2 separate regions of the Mus musculus genome follow, and region 1 is reported to be linked to region 2. The links are microRNA targets in miRTarBase. Many come from high-throughput screens and were not tested one by one. Region 2 holds a microRNA gene; the other region holds the end of a gene's coding sequence.

The links. Region 2 holds the annotated microRNA mmu-miR-29b-1-5p (GCUGGUUUCAUAUGGUGGUUUA, at 3,269-3,290, shown strand). A microRNA usually pairs through its seed, bases 2 to 8, with sites in the 3' UTR of a target mRNA and lowers its output. Matches are read on the target gene's strand: a 7mer-m8 pairs with bases 2 to 8, a 7mer-A1 pairs with bases 2 to 7 and ends in A, and an 8mer does both.
Region 1: miRTarBase lists Akt1 as a target of mmu-miR-29b-1-5p. The part of its 3' UTR that is shown has no 7-base or 8-base seed match.

Annotation. Positions count from the first base shown.
Region 1 is chr12:112,649,223-112,657,482 of GRCm38, forward strand. It overlaps Akt1 (thymoma viral proto-oncogene 1), which reads right to left. Exons shown (of 14, transcript NM_009652.3): 9 at 8,046-8,171; 10 at 7,846-7,974; 11 at 7,555-7,769; 12 at 7,280-7,367; 13 at 5,905-6,007; 14 at 4,599-5,555. The coding sequence ends at 5,476. Among named protein-coding and RNA genes, the nearest start is that of Mir6939, 6.0 kb to the right of the region's middle.
Region 2 is chr6:31,058,097-31,066,356 of GRCm38, reverse strand. It overlaps Mir29b-1 (microRNA 29b-1), which reads left to right and starts at 3,264; the gene lies at 3,264-3,334. Mir29a (microRNA 29a) reads left to right here and starts at 3,610; the gene lies at 3,610-3,697.

The DNA.
Region 1 (8,260 bases), not on the chromosome of region 2:
CGTGCAGCTCAGCTGTCTTGGCATTGAGACCCCTGCTTATTACCCACATCTAACAGGCAAGCCAGACCCAGCAAGTTCCTTCCTGTCCTCCCTCAGCTGTAAGAGGAAGCAGCTGGACTCCAGGAGTCAGACTGCAGAATGGTCACCTGCGTGCTAGACAACCTCAGGCACTGAATTGCCACTGTCAGTCACATAGGCAGCCATCAATACCTACACTGCTGGGTTCCAGGTGATTTAATGAGCCCTTGTCCTCCAGGGGTTTGGCCCTGTGGAATGTCCTGTGTGGTTGTGACAGTCCTCACCATATCTTCAGAGGTAGTTTATGCAGGGCTCTAAGGAGTTCACAGGAGGTAACATGGCCTGGAAGATAATGGTGGGCCAGTCACTGCAGCCACCTGGGTCTCCTACTTACAAGTGGTTGGCTGGGTAGATAGGGCAGAGGTCTCCTTGTCCTGATCTCTAAGAACAACTACGGTTAGTTCCCATACATATCGAGGAGGTGCTGTCCTAGATGGGGTTGGTTCAAGTTTCCCTATACTACTGAAAAGTTGGCCCAGAGGCCCTACGTGAGCAGGAGGCTAGAGAGGGCTGAGGTGGGGAAAGGCCTTACGCACCTGGGAAGTTCCCTTATTGCTGTGGATAATGGGACTCTGGCTGGTTTTAAGTGTGGAAGCTGGTGGTCTGTAGGTAGTGACCAGGAGCTGGGCCCATTAGGGCCCAAGGTAGCAGTTAGCTGCTGTAGCCTTGCTGGGGGTGGGGCGGGGCAGGGCACCCAGATAGGCCAGCGACTGCGGCTCTGAAAATGGAATCTGGGGATCCTAACTGGAGTCTGTCTATTTGTCTGTCTATTTAATTTTCTTTGTGGCAAGGGCTCACTGTGTAGCCCTGGCTGTCCTTGAACTCAGAGATCCACCTGCCTCTGCCTCCTGAGTTTTGGAACTAAAGGCGTGCGCCACCACACCTGACTCGATTAGCTGGCTTGAAGCCACTAAGCCACTTGAGCTGGCTGTTGGTGGCCAAAGCAAACCCTGACCGTACCCCACACCCATCCCATGGCTTCTGGTGCTGTTTTATCCTGGCCTAGAGTCTTTGTACTATGAGCTTCTGCTGTAGCTAGCCCATCTCTGTCACCAGTGGGAATCATTGCCCAGTCCCCAACACCTTCAGGCTGCCCTCTCTCATAAACACCAGACTTTACCTCTCCTGCTTCCTGCCCCGCTGGGGGTTCAGTCTACCTCCCAGCATGCTCAACATGCTTTCTTTCACCTTAGACCTTCTTGGCTCCCTTCTTGGCTGGAGGCCCTTCCTCTGGGTGTTTGTATGTTCGTTTATGTCTCTCTGGGTTGGGCTCAGAAGCATCCTAGTCCTTACTGCACAGCCCTGTAGGCTTTTCTGATCCACCATAGAGAATACAGATGGATGCTTGTTATTCCTTCCAGCTGCCATGCAGATTCCTGAGAGCTGTGACGTAGCTTCAAATGACATCTTACATGTCACAGACTTGTAGTAATCTGCCCAGCATCCAGCCATGAGGTAGCGGGGAGTGTATTTGAGTGTGCATGTCAGTGTGGGGTGCATGCCTGAGTTTGCATGTGTGGAGCCAGCAATCTACTTGGTGTTGTTTGGGTTTTATTTGGTTTGTGGGTGGTTTGGCTTTTGAGGCTAGGCCCCATTTGGCCTGGAGCTCACGGATTAAGTTAAACTGTGGACAGCAAGCCTCAGGCCCCCCGCCCCGCGTCGGCCTCCCTAGCATTAGGAGTGTAAACCAATGCCACCGCTGTGCTTTGTAAATACAATTGTGGGGGCCAAACTTGGGGCATGCTTACATGGCAAGCATTTTGCCAACAGATGCCCCGGTCCCTAGCCAACTTTAAAAAAAGAACAAAGTACTTAGATATTGGACAGCACCCAGCGTCAGATGATAACCCCAGAGGGGATGAGATGAACCCAGGTTCTGCTGAGAACCCTGCCTGCTGAGCATCCACCTGTGGTGTGGGAGGAGATTGAGAGAGCTTGTGAAAAGGATCGAGAAGACTGGGGGATGAGAGCTAGGATAGCCAAAGTTTGCACAGCAGATTGCCAGTGGATCAAAGCATCCTTGATGGTGTTAATTAATCACGTTGTTGAGAGCAAGGGAGGGAACAAGAAGCAGTCCCCATTCCCAATAAAGAAGGGATATGGAAGCCGGGCGGTGGTGGTACACGCCTTTAATACACTTTGGTACACTTGGGAGGCAGAGGCAGGCAGATTTCTGAGTTCGAGGCCAGCCTGGTCTACAAAGTGAGTTCCAGGACAGCCAGGGCTACACAGAGAAACCCTGTCTCGAAAAAAACAAAACAAAACAAACAAAAAAGAAGGGATATGGGCAGGATCCTCACCACCATCTTCATGCTCCGTAGGTAGGCCTCCCTCTCCTAATGCAGACTGCCTGGCCTCTCCTTTGTGGTGAAAGCCATGCCTGACAAAGCCATTGTCACCATTACTGTTGCGTAGCAGTTTTCCATCTTGGAGAGCTCTTTAAGACACAGGATGGTGAGGGTGGGGCATGGTAGAACACTCCTGCAGGGAAGCTCCTTAAGCTCAGCAAGCAAACTTGAGGGCTTTAGGAAGTCCCTGAAACTGACCACATTCACTAGGGCTTCCCCTCCCAAACGTTCTCAGATCAGCTGAGCTGCCTCGAGGCTCAGATCACTTTCTAGCCTGTTCAGCTGCCTGTAGTTTGTTTTGGGGTATGCTTTTGTGAGCTGTCACCCATGCCTTGGCAATGCAGCTGTCTTCTGAGTCATCTCTGTTCCTGTAAACAACCTATATTCTCATATGCCACTGTCAAACTCACTGGTCCTCCAGGTCGGGCTTTGGTGGTATCTGTACTCTGCTGTCATTGGTTCCTTAGCTGGGGTGAATAGGTGTTTGCTCACATCTCTCTAGTGCTATACTACAAACACTTAACTATATCCTAGAACAGAACTCAAAAGGTCTTGTTTCAACTCGGTTCCCATAAGACAAATAGTAAACTTTGCTCCCTCCTTTCTTGGCCTTAGTGTAGGTCATTTCCCTAAATGGAAACTATAGTCATCAAGTGGCTACACACCTCATTCCCACCGATCTCCACCCTAGCAAGCACCATTCTACTTCCTGCCTTATGAATTACTTACCTCATTTAAGCTTACCAGACCCTACCATGGCCACAGGGTCTATCCCCTATCTGCTCTGGTGGTTCAGGCTAGGCCAGGCCTGTCTTCGGGGAGAGGGTACCACTTCCCAAGAGCATTCCCTAGATGTCCGCTCTCACCTACAATGATCATGTTGGGCAGCTTTCATGAGTAACAGTGGGCTCAGGAAGAGAGCTTTGCCCACCTCTGTGTTGAGGGCACAACTTCAGGGCTCCCTCCTCTGTACTAGAGACACATACCTGAGGGGTCTTGTGGAAAGAGCAGCCTGTAGCCGGCCCAGCCCTGGCTTTAGCTGTGTTTGTTTCTACGTTTCAGCCACTTTAGGTAAGATTTAGTGCTAAGTCTGAGGGCCACAGAAAGCACTACAGTCCTTATTTCCTTCCTTCCTCCTTCCCTCCCTCTCTTCCCTCCTGACTGGATCTTGCTACATTGACCTTGCTGGCCTTGAACTCAAGTGCTAGGACTAAAGGTGTTTACCCAGCCGGTGTTGTCTATAAATCTTACTTCAAAGTCAGTAAGTGCTGGGCAGTGGTGGCGCACGCCTTTAATCCTAGCACTTGGGAGGCAGAGGCAGGCAGATTTCTGAGTTCGAGGCCAGCCTGGTCTACAAAGTGAGTTCCAGGACAGCCAGGGCTATTCAGAGAAACCCTGTCTCTAAACAAACAAACAAACAAACCCAAAGTAGGCAATGCTGTGTACGGTTCCAGAGGGCTTGTGGTCATCTAGAGAAAATCTTTGGCTGTTATAGAAGTGGATATTCTTATTTTCCAGAGGTCCAGATCATCACCCACCCTAACTTTGCAGGAGTCAGACACCATCCCAGCAAGGCCACCAGCCACTAGGCTCTGTATATGTGTAGTCCATGCCTTAGGGGAGGCCATCTGGCTGGAGGCCTCTAAATGTTTTGCTGAGCAGTTGCTGTTGCTTGCTGCAGTTCCACCAGTAGTCACCAGGTGTCACCAGCAACATACTCAGTATATCTTGGTGGCGGCTTGGACTCAGGATCGCAGACACTCTAGAGTGACCTTGGTTCCTGTCACCTCTGTCCAGACCCAGAACAGTCCCCAGTTCTGTTCAGTCACAGATGTGCTATGTCACCTCAACCAAAGCCTCCTGAGCCTTTTTGAACTGTATCGCCAGCGCATTATCCTTCCTGGTATCAGGGCCTGGCTTATTGCTCTGCCAGACACACGACAGCTGGGGCTGGCAGGTGTCTTAGATGGCCAGGGAGGGTCACTGCAAGAGTAGACTCCAGAGACAGTCAAGATCCTCCCACTTCTGTCAGGAGTGTCCTGCCATGAGGACGACATCCCCTGGAGCCTCAGGGACCAGTTCCCAGGACCCACCCTGATGTGACCCCAGCCACACCCCTTCACCTCCCACCCACTAACAAGGCTGTGACGCTCCACACCAGAAAGCAAACCACAAGCTTGAAAAGCAATTTTTATTGAATTTGGAGGGACAGTTTCTTATTATAATAGTAAAAATGCTGAAGCTGAATGTTGTAAAAAACGACATGGTGCAGCAATGGCCAGCGTCTGGCCGGGAGGGGACAGGCCAGGGTGACGGACAGCGGGAGAGGGAAAGCATCTAAAAGGACAAGTGCTAGGAGAAGGGCTCACGTGAGGCAGGCGCTCCCAGGGTACCCGCTAAGAGCCACCACGCGGGAGCGGGTGCGGGAGGGCAGGGGCTCTCCTGTCACCAAGATTAAAATCCCCTAAATGTCTCTGAACAGCATGGGACACAGCAACAAACTGGATTCTTGTTCCTCTGTCAACCTCACTTGAGCCCTGGCCATCCCATCCAGCCCTAGGGCTGAAGCAGCTGTGACCTCTCCCCGCCCAGAGGGAGAGGGCCAGTTAGCATACCACAGGGGGGTGCTTCTGGTGCCTTCTTGCTGGACTTTGGCCCTGGACCCTAGAGACAGGTGGCGGCCAGGGTGGACAGGCCAATGGGGGCAGTGACGGGACCCACCCAGACCCATGAGCCCACATTGCACATGGTCGCGTCAGTCCTTAATAGTTTTCTACATGAATCTAATTGTTCTGGGCACTGAGGCCACATGTGTGGTCTCAAACTGGATGAAATAAATTAAGAAAAACCCCAGGATAGTTTTCCTCCTGACCTGGCTGGGAGGTAGGCTGCTGCCCACAGTAGAAACATCCTCCCCTGGTCCTGGAGGCTGGCAAGGTTCCTCCCCAGCGCATCCGAGAAACAAAACATCAGGTTCAGATGATCCATGCGGGGCTTCTGGACTCGGCAATGCAGAGGAGCGTGGAGCTGCCAGCCGCTGCCCCAGGCCTCAGGCTGTGCCACTGGCTGAGTAGGAGAACTGGGGGAAGTGCGGCCTCCGCTCACTGTCCACACACTCCATGCTGTCATCTGTGGGCCACAGGAGGGCTCAGACCATCTCTAGAAACAGCCCGCCCACCTGACACATGCCAGAGGATACAAGGGGGCCCTGTGAGGGGGCAGTGACTCTGGCCCTCAGAACACTCCCTCCCTCCCCGCCAAGCTGCTACCACCCTCCAAAGGGTTTGTTTGATTCTTTTAGTTTTGGGGCTGAGAGAGAGCTTAGTGGTTAAGAGCACTGGCTGCTCTGGTAGAGGACCCGGGTTCAGTTCCAGTGCCCACGTGGCTACTCACAACCACCTGTTAACTCCAGTTCCCCCCCAAAAAAAGCAGGAGTGCAAGCCAGACACTGAGGGGCCATGGAGTGGGGTGGCCTCACCTTGATCAGGCGGCGTGATGGTGATCATCTGAGCTGTGAACTCCTCATCGAAATACCTGGTGTCAGTCTCAGAGGTGACCTGGGGCTTGAAAGGTGGGCTCAGCTGAGGAGCAACAGAAGGCCTGGTTACTACTGGGTTCCAATCCCTCCATCCTCTCTGGGCAATACTGACCTTATCGGGTGGGCACTAGCACTAGGGAACAGCTCTAGGAGATGGAACTGGGTAGGGCAGTGTAGGCAGGGGAGAGCAAGCCCAGAGATGCCCAAAGTGACGAGAGGGTAGTGACTGCCCACCTCCAGGCAGTGGGAACTCCGTTCTCTGGTTGTCATTTCCCTTCTGAGTTTTTTTTTTTTTCTTCCCTTTCCATTTTTTGAAACTGGGGTTCTGTGTAGCCCTAGGAACTACCTCTGTAAACCAGGCTGGCCTCAAACTCAGAGATCCACCTGCTCCTGCCTCCCAGGTGCTGGGACTAAAGGCACACAGTGGCACCACCACAGCTGTGGCAGGACTCAAAGCAGTCTTCAGGTGAGCTCGCCTGCCTCACTGACAGCCCATGAAGAAGATAAGCTGCAGAGTGGTGTATGCACTGGAGGCTGCTAACATCCTTTTGGGTCTCACAGGCAAGGACCCTCAATTGCCATCCCTCCCAAATCTGGTGTGAGGGCAATGCGGACTTCATGGGATCTCTAGTTGAGTGTGGGCAGGAAAGGCATGCCATCCACACCCCCACATGCTGCTGGCCCCGTGTTATCTAGAAGGTACACTCAAGGCAGGGGGTAACAGGGCACCCAACACATCAAGGTAGAGTGTTGAGACCACCTGCTGTGTCCCTCATCAGCCTGGGCCAGGGGTACTTAGGAGCTGAAGAGAATCACACTTAGGGGTGAGTACAAGGGGCTCTGCTCTCTGCAGTGGCCTACACTGTGCCAGACGGGCAGGGGCCGTCCCAGAATGGGATTAGGCTCGCCCTAGAGTTGGAGACACCTAGACATTACCCCCCACCCTCGGCTAGCTTTCATCATAGGGCACATGAGGCGATCTCCAGGCAAAGGACAGGAGCAAGCAACAGGTGTAGGCAACAGGGGCACAATTGAGGGCCTGGAGAGGCCAGGTGACTGTGCGAGGTATGCAGGGCAGCATACTACCCTCTTCTGTGCGAGCGAGAAGGCTGTGCACAACCCTGTGGCTCTGTGGGGGCATGTGACTACACAAGGCTGTGGGCCCAGCATGCGTGTCTGAGCCAGCAAAAACAGGAGTGTTTGCATGTGTGCACACATGTGATCCAGAGATGGGCACAGTGGCCAGAGTGAGAGTGTTTATATGTATGCACACACGTATGTGATCCAGAGATGGGCACAGTGGCCAGATGCACACCTTCTTCTCATACACATCCTGCCACACGATGTTGGCAAAGAACCGGTGCTGCATGATCTCCTTGGCATCCTCGGAGCCCCCACCGAGCCTGTGGGTAGGAGACAGGTCCAGGGCTCAGACACTGCGTGCAAGGTGACAGGTCACGGGGATACTCGCAGGGTAGGGATACCCCTAGCTGCCTGACCACCCCACCCGACATGTGACTGAGACTGTGGCGGGTACAGTGGGCAGCAGCACTGTCTAGAGGCTGAGCCTGAAGCCCCGGCAGCCCTTACCTCTGTGTAGGGTCCTTCTTGAGCAGCCCGGAGAGCAGGGACTTGGCCTCAGGGCCGAGTGTGCGCGGGAAGCGGATCTCCTCCATGAGGATCAGCTCGAACAGCTTCTCGTGGTCCTGGTTGTAGAAGGGCAGGCGGCCACACATCATCTCGTACATGACCACGCCCAGCCCCCACCAGTCCACTGCACGGCCGTAGTCGTTGTCCTCCAGCACCTAGATGGGGGACTCTGTCAGCGTTGTGTCGGGGCGTGGGAGGATGTAAGGGAACACACAGGAAGTGGCAGAGCACCTCAGGGGCCAGGTACTCCGGCGTTCCGCAGAATGTCTTCATAGTGGCACCGTCCTTGATCCCCTCCTTGCACAGCCCGAAGTCCGTTATCTTGATGTGCCCGTCCTTGTCCAGCATGAGGTTCTCCAGCTGTGTGGGAAGGCGCTCAGTCAGTGAGGCCAGACCCCCCAGCCCCCACCCGCCCTGCTCCATAAGCACACCTTCAGGTCCCGGTACACCACGTTCTTCTCGGAGTGCAAGTAGTCCAGGGCAGACACAATCTCCGCACCATAGAAGCGGGCCCGGTCCTCGGAGAACACACGCTCTCGAGACAGGTGGAAGAAGAGCTGTGGGGTGGAGCGCGCTGAGGAAGGCCTGTGTGAGGGCCCGCCAACCCTTACCCACAGGCAGAGGGAAGGTTAGGAACTAGCCCCCA
Region 2 (8,260 bases):
TACTGCTCCTCTCACGAAGGCTCTCTGCAGCGTGTCTGTCCCTGGAAAATGCTTGTAGCAGGTTGTCTTTGTGGCCCTGTAGAAGTTGAGGTGCATGCTTGCAAATCACCCTTAAAGAGGTCTTGCTGTATTTTGTCCACGGTGAGTCTCCAGTGAGTTTTTAAGTGACCATCGGAGTTTGATAGCCACTCTTACACACCCAGCTGCCAGTTCACAACCAGGGAAGACCTACAGAAACCTGTGCTCACCAGCGACAGCACAGGTCCCGCGTGGAGGCCCTTGAATGGAGAAGTAATCAGAATATATTTGCAGGTGCTCATTCAAGTGTGCGGAGATGGGAGGCACAAGGCAAAGGTATCTTTTTTTGACACATCCGTGTATGCCTCTCACTTGTGAGCTGGACCTCTTAGCTGCATCCCTCTACTAAAATGCCAAAGGAAAGTTCCGTATTGCTCGTTCGATCATCTCATGTACTACCTGATTTAACCCTTACAAAGCTCGGCTCTTCTGGGTACGGCTTCCAGATGTGTGAGCACAGCTACTGCAGTGACACGTGTGGCCTGGCCCAGACACACCGGTTAGGCCTGCCGAGTCCTGGTGGCCCTAACGTTTTGAAGCTGTGTTCCTCAAGGGGTGCTGGTTCAGGATGTGATAGTTCTTGTGAAATCTCCAAGCCCCGAGGGAAGTTATCTTAATCCAGTTTGCTCAACACAAGAACAGACTGGCTTCTCACGTCACTGGGAGCAATACGCATCTACTGCAGGGCCTTTCCACACAGAGCCCTGCTGTGGGTTACTGACTCAGACCAGGCCCCGATTTCCCTATCAGATTTGACAGAAGTGCACAGGAAGGGCAGTGCGTTGAAGAGCAGCATGAAGCATGCAGGCTGGGTTGTGAAGCAGGCCCACATTTTCATGGCTGGTGAGCTGAGAGCTGCTTAGGGGTCTATCCTTGGAAGATAACTGTTTCTACTCATAGGGTGAAGAGTCTGCCAGCCCAGCGTGTGATCTGTGTATTGTAAGGTTTCTTATTTTTGTCCTTTCAGGAGTTGTAATACTGCAGAGTTGTTGCTAGTTAAAAAATAACAGTAACCCAGCCTACAGAAACAATAGTTCTTTTATGCCCTAGCCCCAGACTAAAGGGTAATGAGGTTGTGTGTCCATTAAAGGGAGAAGGGAAGCACGGGCACACTTGTGAGTGAAGCTGTTCCTCTTGGGAGGGCTGTGCTTGTAGCTGAGGGCCATGGAAGGCCCCAGAGTCCGCACTTGTATGCATGTCCTGAGGGAAGAGGGCCCTGGCTTGTCCACCCCTCTGCCAGCCAATAATAGAGAGTTTCTTTGTTAACTTCAAGACTATTCTCATGGTGAGCCTGTTCCTAGGGAGCTGGGACTTGCTGAAATTACATGAAAACTGGGATTCAGACTGAAGAGCTCTGTGTGTACATGTATGCATGAATGTGTGCTTGTTCATGCATGCATGTTTTTATCATATGTGTGCACATGTGTATGGGTGCCCACCGAAGCCAAAGAGGGCATCACATCCCCTTCGGCTGGAGTTGTAAGCCAGCCTGTGTGCTGGGAACTGAACTCAGAAAAGTGCTCTTAATGACCGAGCTCATTCTCCAGCCCCCAATGGTTTACATATTCTAGACGTAGGGCCTTTCAGGCCTACCTTTAGTGAACATTTTCTTTCGGTTTGGTGCTGTTTTTATTTTATTTTATTTTATTTTATTTATTTATTTATTTTGAGAAAGAAAGGTTTTCTTAAACTAGTCAAAGGTTTATTTCTTTCATTTAAAAAATATTTAGGTATGTTTTATTATTTTTTGAAATAGATTCCCAGTCTGTAGCCTGGCACCTCGTGGTGCTGGACCAAGGAGGGGTCCCGCAGCCTTGATGAGATCTGAGTGTAAAAAGCAAAGCTATAAGACTGTCTTTTGAGAAAGTAGGTGAAGTCCCATGCACACTGGCTACTTCACAGTCCCAGGGAATTGTTTGTTTCCTCGGGTAGGACAGCTTACTGTAATTATAAAGAAAAATGTTCTCCTTTTTTTTTTTTAATTTTTTATCTCAGTATTTCTTAAACAGTGCTGTGCCCCAGCAGCTGAGAGCAGAGCACCTGGCTGATCTTCTCTTTGCTTTCAAACAATTCAGTAAGAACCACATATGCCAGGGATAGGTAATAATGTAGATTATATATCTAAAGCAAAAAACGCTCAGTTGTTAATTCAGAAGGCACAAATACAGGAATTTGTTTGATTATCATTGAAAGTTAATGCCATGTAGTGAGCCCTGAAATTACATGGACTAAGCCGGCTGTAGTCACGTACTTAGGAGAATGTGTGTGTGTAACAGCAATTAAAAAGAGGCCATGGATTTGAGAATGAGCAGGAAGGGATAAAGGGGGAGAAAATGTTAATAATCATTTTAATGTCAGTACATTTGAAAAAAATATTTTAAAAAGAAATTTAACATACAACTTTTTAAAAAGGTATTCTTAAAAAGGACATTAACATTCTAATATCTGAAATGTTTCTAAATAGTTTTTTTTTTTTTTAAGGCCGTGGATGTGTAGTTATTGGAGTCCCTGACACATTCAAAAGAGTGACGGCAAACGGCCTGGCCTAGCAAGACCACATGTCAAGAGCTAATGGAAGGGAGACAAGAAAGAAGCCAGAAAGTCTCAGCACTCAGGAAGCAGAAGCAGGGCCTCTCTGAGTTACGAGGACAGCCAGGGCTACATAGTGAGACCCTGTTTAAAACTGTAATAGTAGTAGCAGTAGCAGCAGTACTGATGATAGTGATAATCTGTCAGATACCGAAGATTCAAAGCTTCACTTCTGGAGGAGAATTGAGTTAGCAAAAGACCTGAACTCACTACTGCAGTCTGGCAAAAGGGGGCAGGGTCTCATTAGCATCAGTGTGTTGCTTTGCCTTTGAGAGGATCCCAAATTGTGCTCACTTGTCGACTCTAACAGATCGATCTGGAAGTAAAAAGTGTCACGCTTATCAAAAGTGTGCTGAGCTCTGCCACGCTGCACCGTGAATGTGTAAGCCTCGTGCTCACTGTCCCACGTCTGCTCTCGGGTGAGGGCTCAGTTACCATTTGGAGGGAAGAATGCCATGAGTGACCGACATGTCACACCCCCACCCCCACCTGCTAGATGAGGTCAGCATAGGATCGCCTGAAATTAGGAACTATTGCACGGACTTCACCTTCCCTCTCCGTAGGAAGGCCACAAAAACAGACGACAAAGCTTCTTCAGGAAGCTGGTTTCATATGGTGGTTTAGATTTAAATAGTGATTGTCTAGCACCATTTGAAATCAGTGTTCTTGGTGGAGAACTACTTCGCTGCCGACCGCACAAAGAAATGAGTGTACAGCCCTGAAGTAAGTGTCCAGTGTCTAAAACAGGCTACCAGAGCCTGCCCTCGCCCACCCTGCTTACCTCTGTGTTATGGATAGCTGATTAGTCAACCACCGTTAGAATTGCATACTTGTTCATGTAATAAGCCTTCTCTGGAAGTGGACTCCACCATGCTCGGATGAAGACCTACATATACGACAGATTGAAGGCCTGGGCCTTCCCAGTGCACATGACCTCTTGTGACCCCTTAGAGGATGACTGATTTCTTTTGGTGTTCAGAGTCAATAGAATTTTCTAGCACCATCTGAAATCGGTTATAATGATTGGGGAAGAGCACCGTTCAGCTGACTACGTTATTGCTGACGTTGGAGCCACAGGTAAGAATTAAGAAACAAATACCAAAACATGCTAAGGTACATTTTCTTCCTATCTTAAACTTGACTTTCATTAACACGTGCCCCAGCAACAGCATGGTTAACTATTCACATAGTGATGGTGGGTGTGTTTTAGAAAGTGTGTATGGGTTGCAGATTTGACGGTAACTAGAGGATAAAGGGCCAAACCAATGACTGACCAGTCAATGTGAGAGGAGCAGGGGATATTTACTTCTATAAGGTTCTAACAGCTCACATAGGGATAGTCACCTAGCCTGCCTGACCACTGGCCATTGCATGGTTAGCTGTCCAGACCAGGAGAGCTATAAGTTAGATGTAACAGATGGTTCAGATAACTGGACCTGTGTCTGGGACTCAAGTAATAGGCATAAAAATAAGTGTGACAAACTCATGTCTGGTAGATGTGTCCAACCATTTACATTGCAATGCGATGTTGTCATCAACAAAGTTAACATTAGAGAATACAATGGGATTGCAAAAGATAATTTCGTGGGTTTTAAGTACACTTGTGATGTGTTGGACAGCATTCATAGCTATCCTGAGGGGAAGGGGGTGGGGTGGGGTGGCATGGGCCACAGGTTGGACACACCTAGCCTGTGGTATTTGTAGCCTTTCCAAGTGGTGCTTAAGGCTACATTTCCTCCTGGTTGAACTTTAACTAGACTTATAAATAAGGAAAATCAGATGAATCATACAAATGACTAAGCTTTGGCTAGATCTAAAAGGTTAGGCGAGATAGATTGTACAGTTTTTCCTTGGTAAACAAAACGGAACTCCTGCAGTAGACCTCGCTGCCCAGAACCCCAAATCCAAGTTTTCTGTGCTTGTGTTTCAGAATGAAAAGGCAAGCGGGCTGTTAGTATTGCTGAAGCGCTGCGTGTGTAAGTAATTCCTAACCCTGCTGCATCCCGACCTTCGTTCATAGCTCGTTCCTGTTGAGCCGAATGGGATCGCGTGTAGCCTCAGTTACTCCCGCATTACGCATTGTCCAAGTCAGCATCACGGCCTCGTAAAGCAGAAGAATGCGTTTGCTGCTGAGACTGAACAGCTTGGGTTGAACTGAAATGAAGAGGGAGTATACCACAGATACAGAATAGGAACAAAGTGACACAGCTACAGAAAACCCGAAGTGGAGCGTTTGAACCATTTTAGAGTATATAACACAAAGGCTCTTGAGCAAAGCTTTCATGGAGTTGTACAGATCAGCAAGGTCTAGTTCTCCTCACCTCGAAAGAAAACCTGAATCCAGGCATTCCTTACTCATTATGTACTTCCTGTCTCTGAGTGAAATCTGTTCTCTGTAGATTTACATGTTCTGAACATTTCACAGAATCACACCCTCTGTGAAATTCTCCATCCAGCTTAGTTCACTTAATGGGACGTTTTCATGGTTCTCTCACGGTGCGTTCATCCAAACTCGGTTCCCTTTTCATGACTAAATAATATTTCACTGTGTGGGCATGCCACATCTTGCTTATATACTTACCAGTTTGGCATTTAAATTGTCCTGTTCTGTTTTGTTTTTAAGTTTAATCTTCTAATATGATTCATGTGTTATATATCCACAGACTGCACTGGATTAGCACTGAGCCCTATAGCAATAAGTAGCTGTCCACTGCCGCACCTATATTTTCCCATTAGCTGTATCCTCAACTTTTATCTGTGTCTTCTGACTGCCTACATTTAAAGCGTTGCGCTGCTCTTCTTTCATTCTGACTTTCTTCCCTGCTCCCTCCCCCATGTGAGGATTTAACTTTAACAACCCTCATTCCCCCTTAAAGCAGCCGTTCCATTGACCCTCACAATCCAATTACAGCCCAGGTGAAGTCAAGGACTAGTGAACAACCCGGCCGCAAAAGGCCAGGTAGACAGCTGTCATGAAGAACCTGAGGTGCACATGAGTACACACATGCACATAGAAGAACTAGTGTTGGTAATGGGGAATATTGGTAATATAGAGAGGGATTTTTTTGTAGCCCACCCATACAGATTCACATTCCTTCAGAAACCTTATTAAATTCTGAGATGAGTAACTATCATTTTAAACGTTGTTTCCCTGAACTTTCCCATGCACTCCTCATAGCGACTGTGGAGCTTTCAGCTTCCCTCCCAGCGTGCTGGGACAGGCTTTGGTTTCTCGGAGCCCAGCTTCCTCCCACACTGGTCTGGGTGAGTGCCTTTCTCAGCTCTCTGGTTCCCTTGCTTCCTTCCTGGGCTAAATACATTCCAGGTCCTCATCTCTTTAATCCTCTCAGCCAGCTCCTGTCTGAGAGTCTGTCAGCCAGCTCCTGTCTGAGAGTCTGTCAGCCAGCTCCTGTCTGAGAGTCTGTATATGTGTTCGTTCTGTGTGTGTGTGTGTTAAAGAAGCACACACATCCTTCGGTAGTCATCTGGGGAAGACTGGTGGAACTTTTTTGGGGGGGCCGGGGGGCAGGGTACAATTTTTGGTATGGAATGTCTGGTTAGAAAAAGAAAATCCTTCAGACTTTCATTCTCTAGTATGCAGGATTGAAGTAGAATGCAGAGCTAATCAATAGGCCCTTTGCTCTGGAAGTAGGAGACTTGGTTAACCCTGTAGTCTGTGTTCTTCAGTGGTTGGTCCTGGGCCTTGGGAGAGCTGTCTTCACTCCCTGGGCAGGGCATTTGACATTGCTGTCATTGTGGACAACAAAGTCCCTGCCTTCTTAATCCTCTGGCCTTCACCTTTGCCACTCACCGCATGGCTTGCCTTACCGCTCCCTGTCTCCTTTCTGTCTCTTTGTTCTGCTTTCTGGAAGAACTCCCACCATGTCTTCTAAACATCACAGTGAGTGAGCATGTCTGCTAATGGACTTCAGTATCTGAAAGGTAGGTCTTGAATGCCATTCTTCCCTGGGGTGAGGATTCACAGCTGTTTCAGGCTGTTGATTTCTTACCTGTGTTTGAGTTTTCTCTCCCCTGCCGTTGTCTTCAGGTGCTTTGCGTATTCAGGCTTTTGTGTTGTGAGTTTACTTGCGTCTTTGACTCTGTTCATGTTAGAGACAGGACTAGAAAGGTCTCTAAGCACTGACGGGAGTTATCACAGCACGTATGTAGGTAGAGCAACGATCCTCTCACACAAACCAGAGGACCCTGTCCTTGGGACTGGAGAGGTGGCTCATTGGTGAGAAGCAGATACTGTTCTTACAGAGAACCTGATCCTAGTACCCATGTGGGGTGATTCCCACTGTAAGTTACCCTCCTCTGACCTCCTTGGGCAACCAGTGCACATGCACATATACAAACACATAAATTTAAAACTTCTTAAGAAAAAAAGTCCTTGTCCTAACCCATACAGTCTGCAAAAATGTAATCTTACATGGGCTTGGCAGAAGAAATAGGTCAGGCGCCTTGAGATGCACCCGGGCTGGACCAGAAGCCTTCAAAGCAGAGTCCCTTGCTGGCTGTGGTCAGGGAGATGTGGGTTTGGAGGACACCCAGCACTGCTGGCTCAAGGATGGAGTAAGAGGGCCCTGGCAAGGAATATGCCACGTTCTGAGATGGGAGAGTAAGACAACAGACCAGCTCCCCTCCAGCCTCCCAAATGGAACAGAACTGCTGACCCCTGACTTCACCCCAGTAAGGCCTGTGGTTGACTTGGAAGACTGTGTGGTTAAAGTCTTTGAAGACACTGAGTTTATAGTGGTTTGTCACAGATGCAGTAGGAACGTCATGTGGCCCAGGCTGGTAGTTCGCTGGGGTACACCAGAGCCATTACCTGCTGGCTAGTGGGTACCTTCCCTTGGCCTGGCCAGTTTCCACTTAGGGGTTGGTTTAGTTAGCATAAACCTGAATCCCTTCGGATGTTACAAGAATAAATCTTCATGCATAGTTGCTTGATGCAGAGAAGTCCGGAAAGCTTCGCCCAGAGCATTGGAGAAATTCTCACTCACTCTTGAGCCTGCATCACAAGAGCTGAGGCTCTGCCCACCAGTGGGCAGCTGCTCAGTGGAGGGAGTGGGACTGTGTACTGACGTGTCTGGCCTTTGGAATAATAACTTCAGTATAGGAATTCTACATCTAACTCAGGTTTCTTCCATTGCCAAATTGTAGACTGGAACCATATAGAGAACAGGATTCTGGGAAATGTAGTTCTAGCCTTATATGACAAGATGGAGGTGGTGAATCAGACCCAACCCTGCATAGGGATGAGCCTGAATGTCAGATTCTGAAAACTGAATTGAAGAGGGGACAGTGAGTCTTAACTGTTCCAAATGTGGGGTTTAATTAGCCCCTTCTGTAGTCTGGCACCCAGTACTCCCTTGGCTGTGCCCACTGTCTCCAGGTAAACCACAACGAATCTCTGCTTCAAGCTCTCCTCCTCTTCCTCCTCTTCCTCTTCCTCTTCCTCCTCCTCCTCTTTTTTTTTTTAAGATGGTTTCACTACGCAGCCCAGAGTGTCCACCAACTCTCAGAGTGCCTGCCTATGTCTCCTGGATCAAATGCTTGTTCCACCACACCCGGCTGAGGATGACCATCA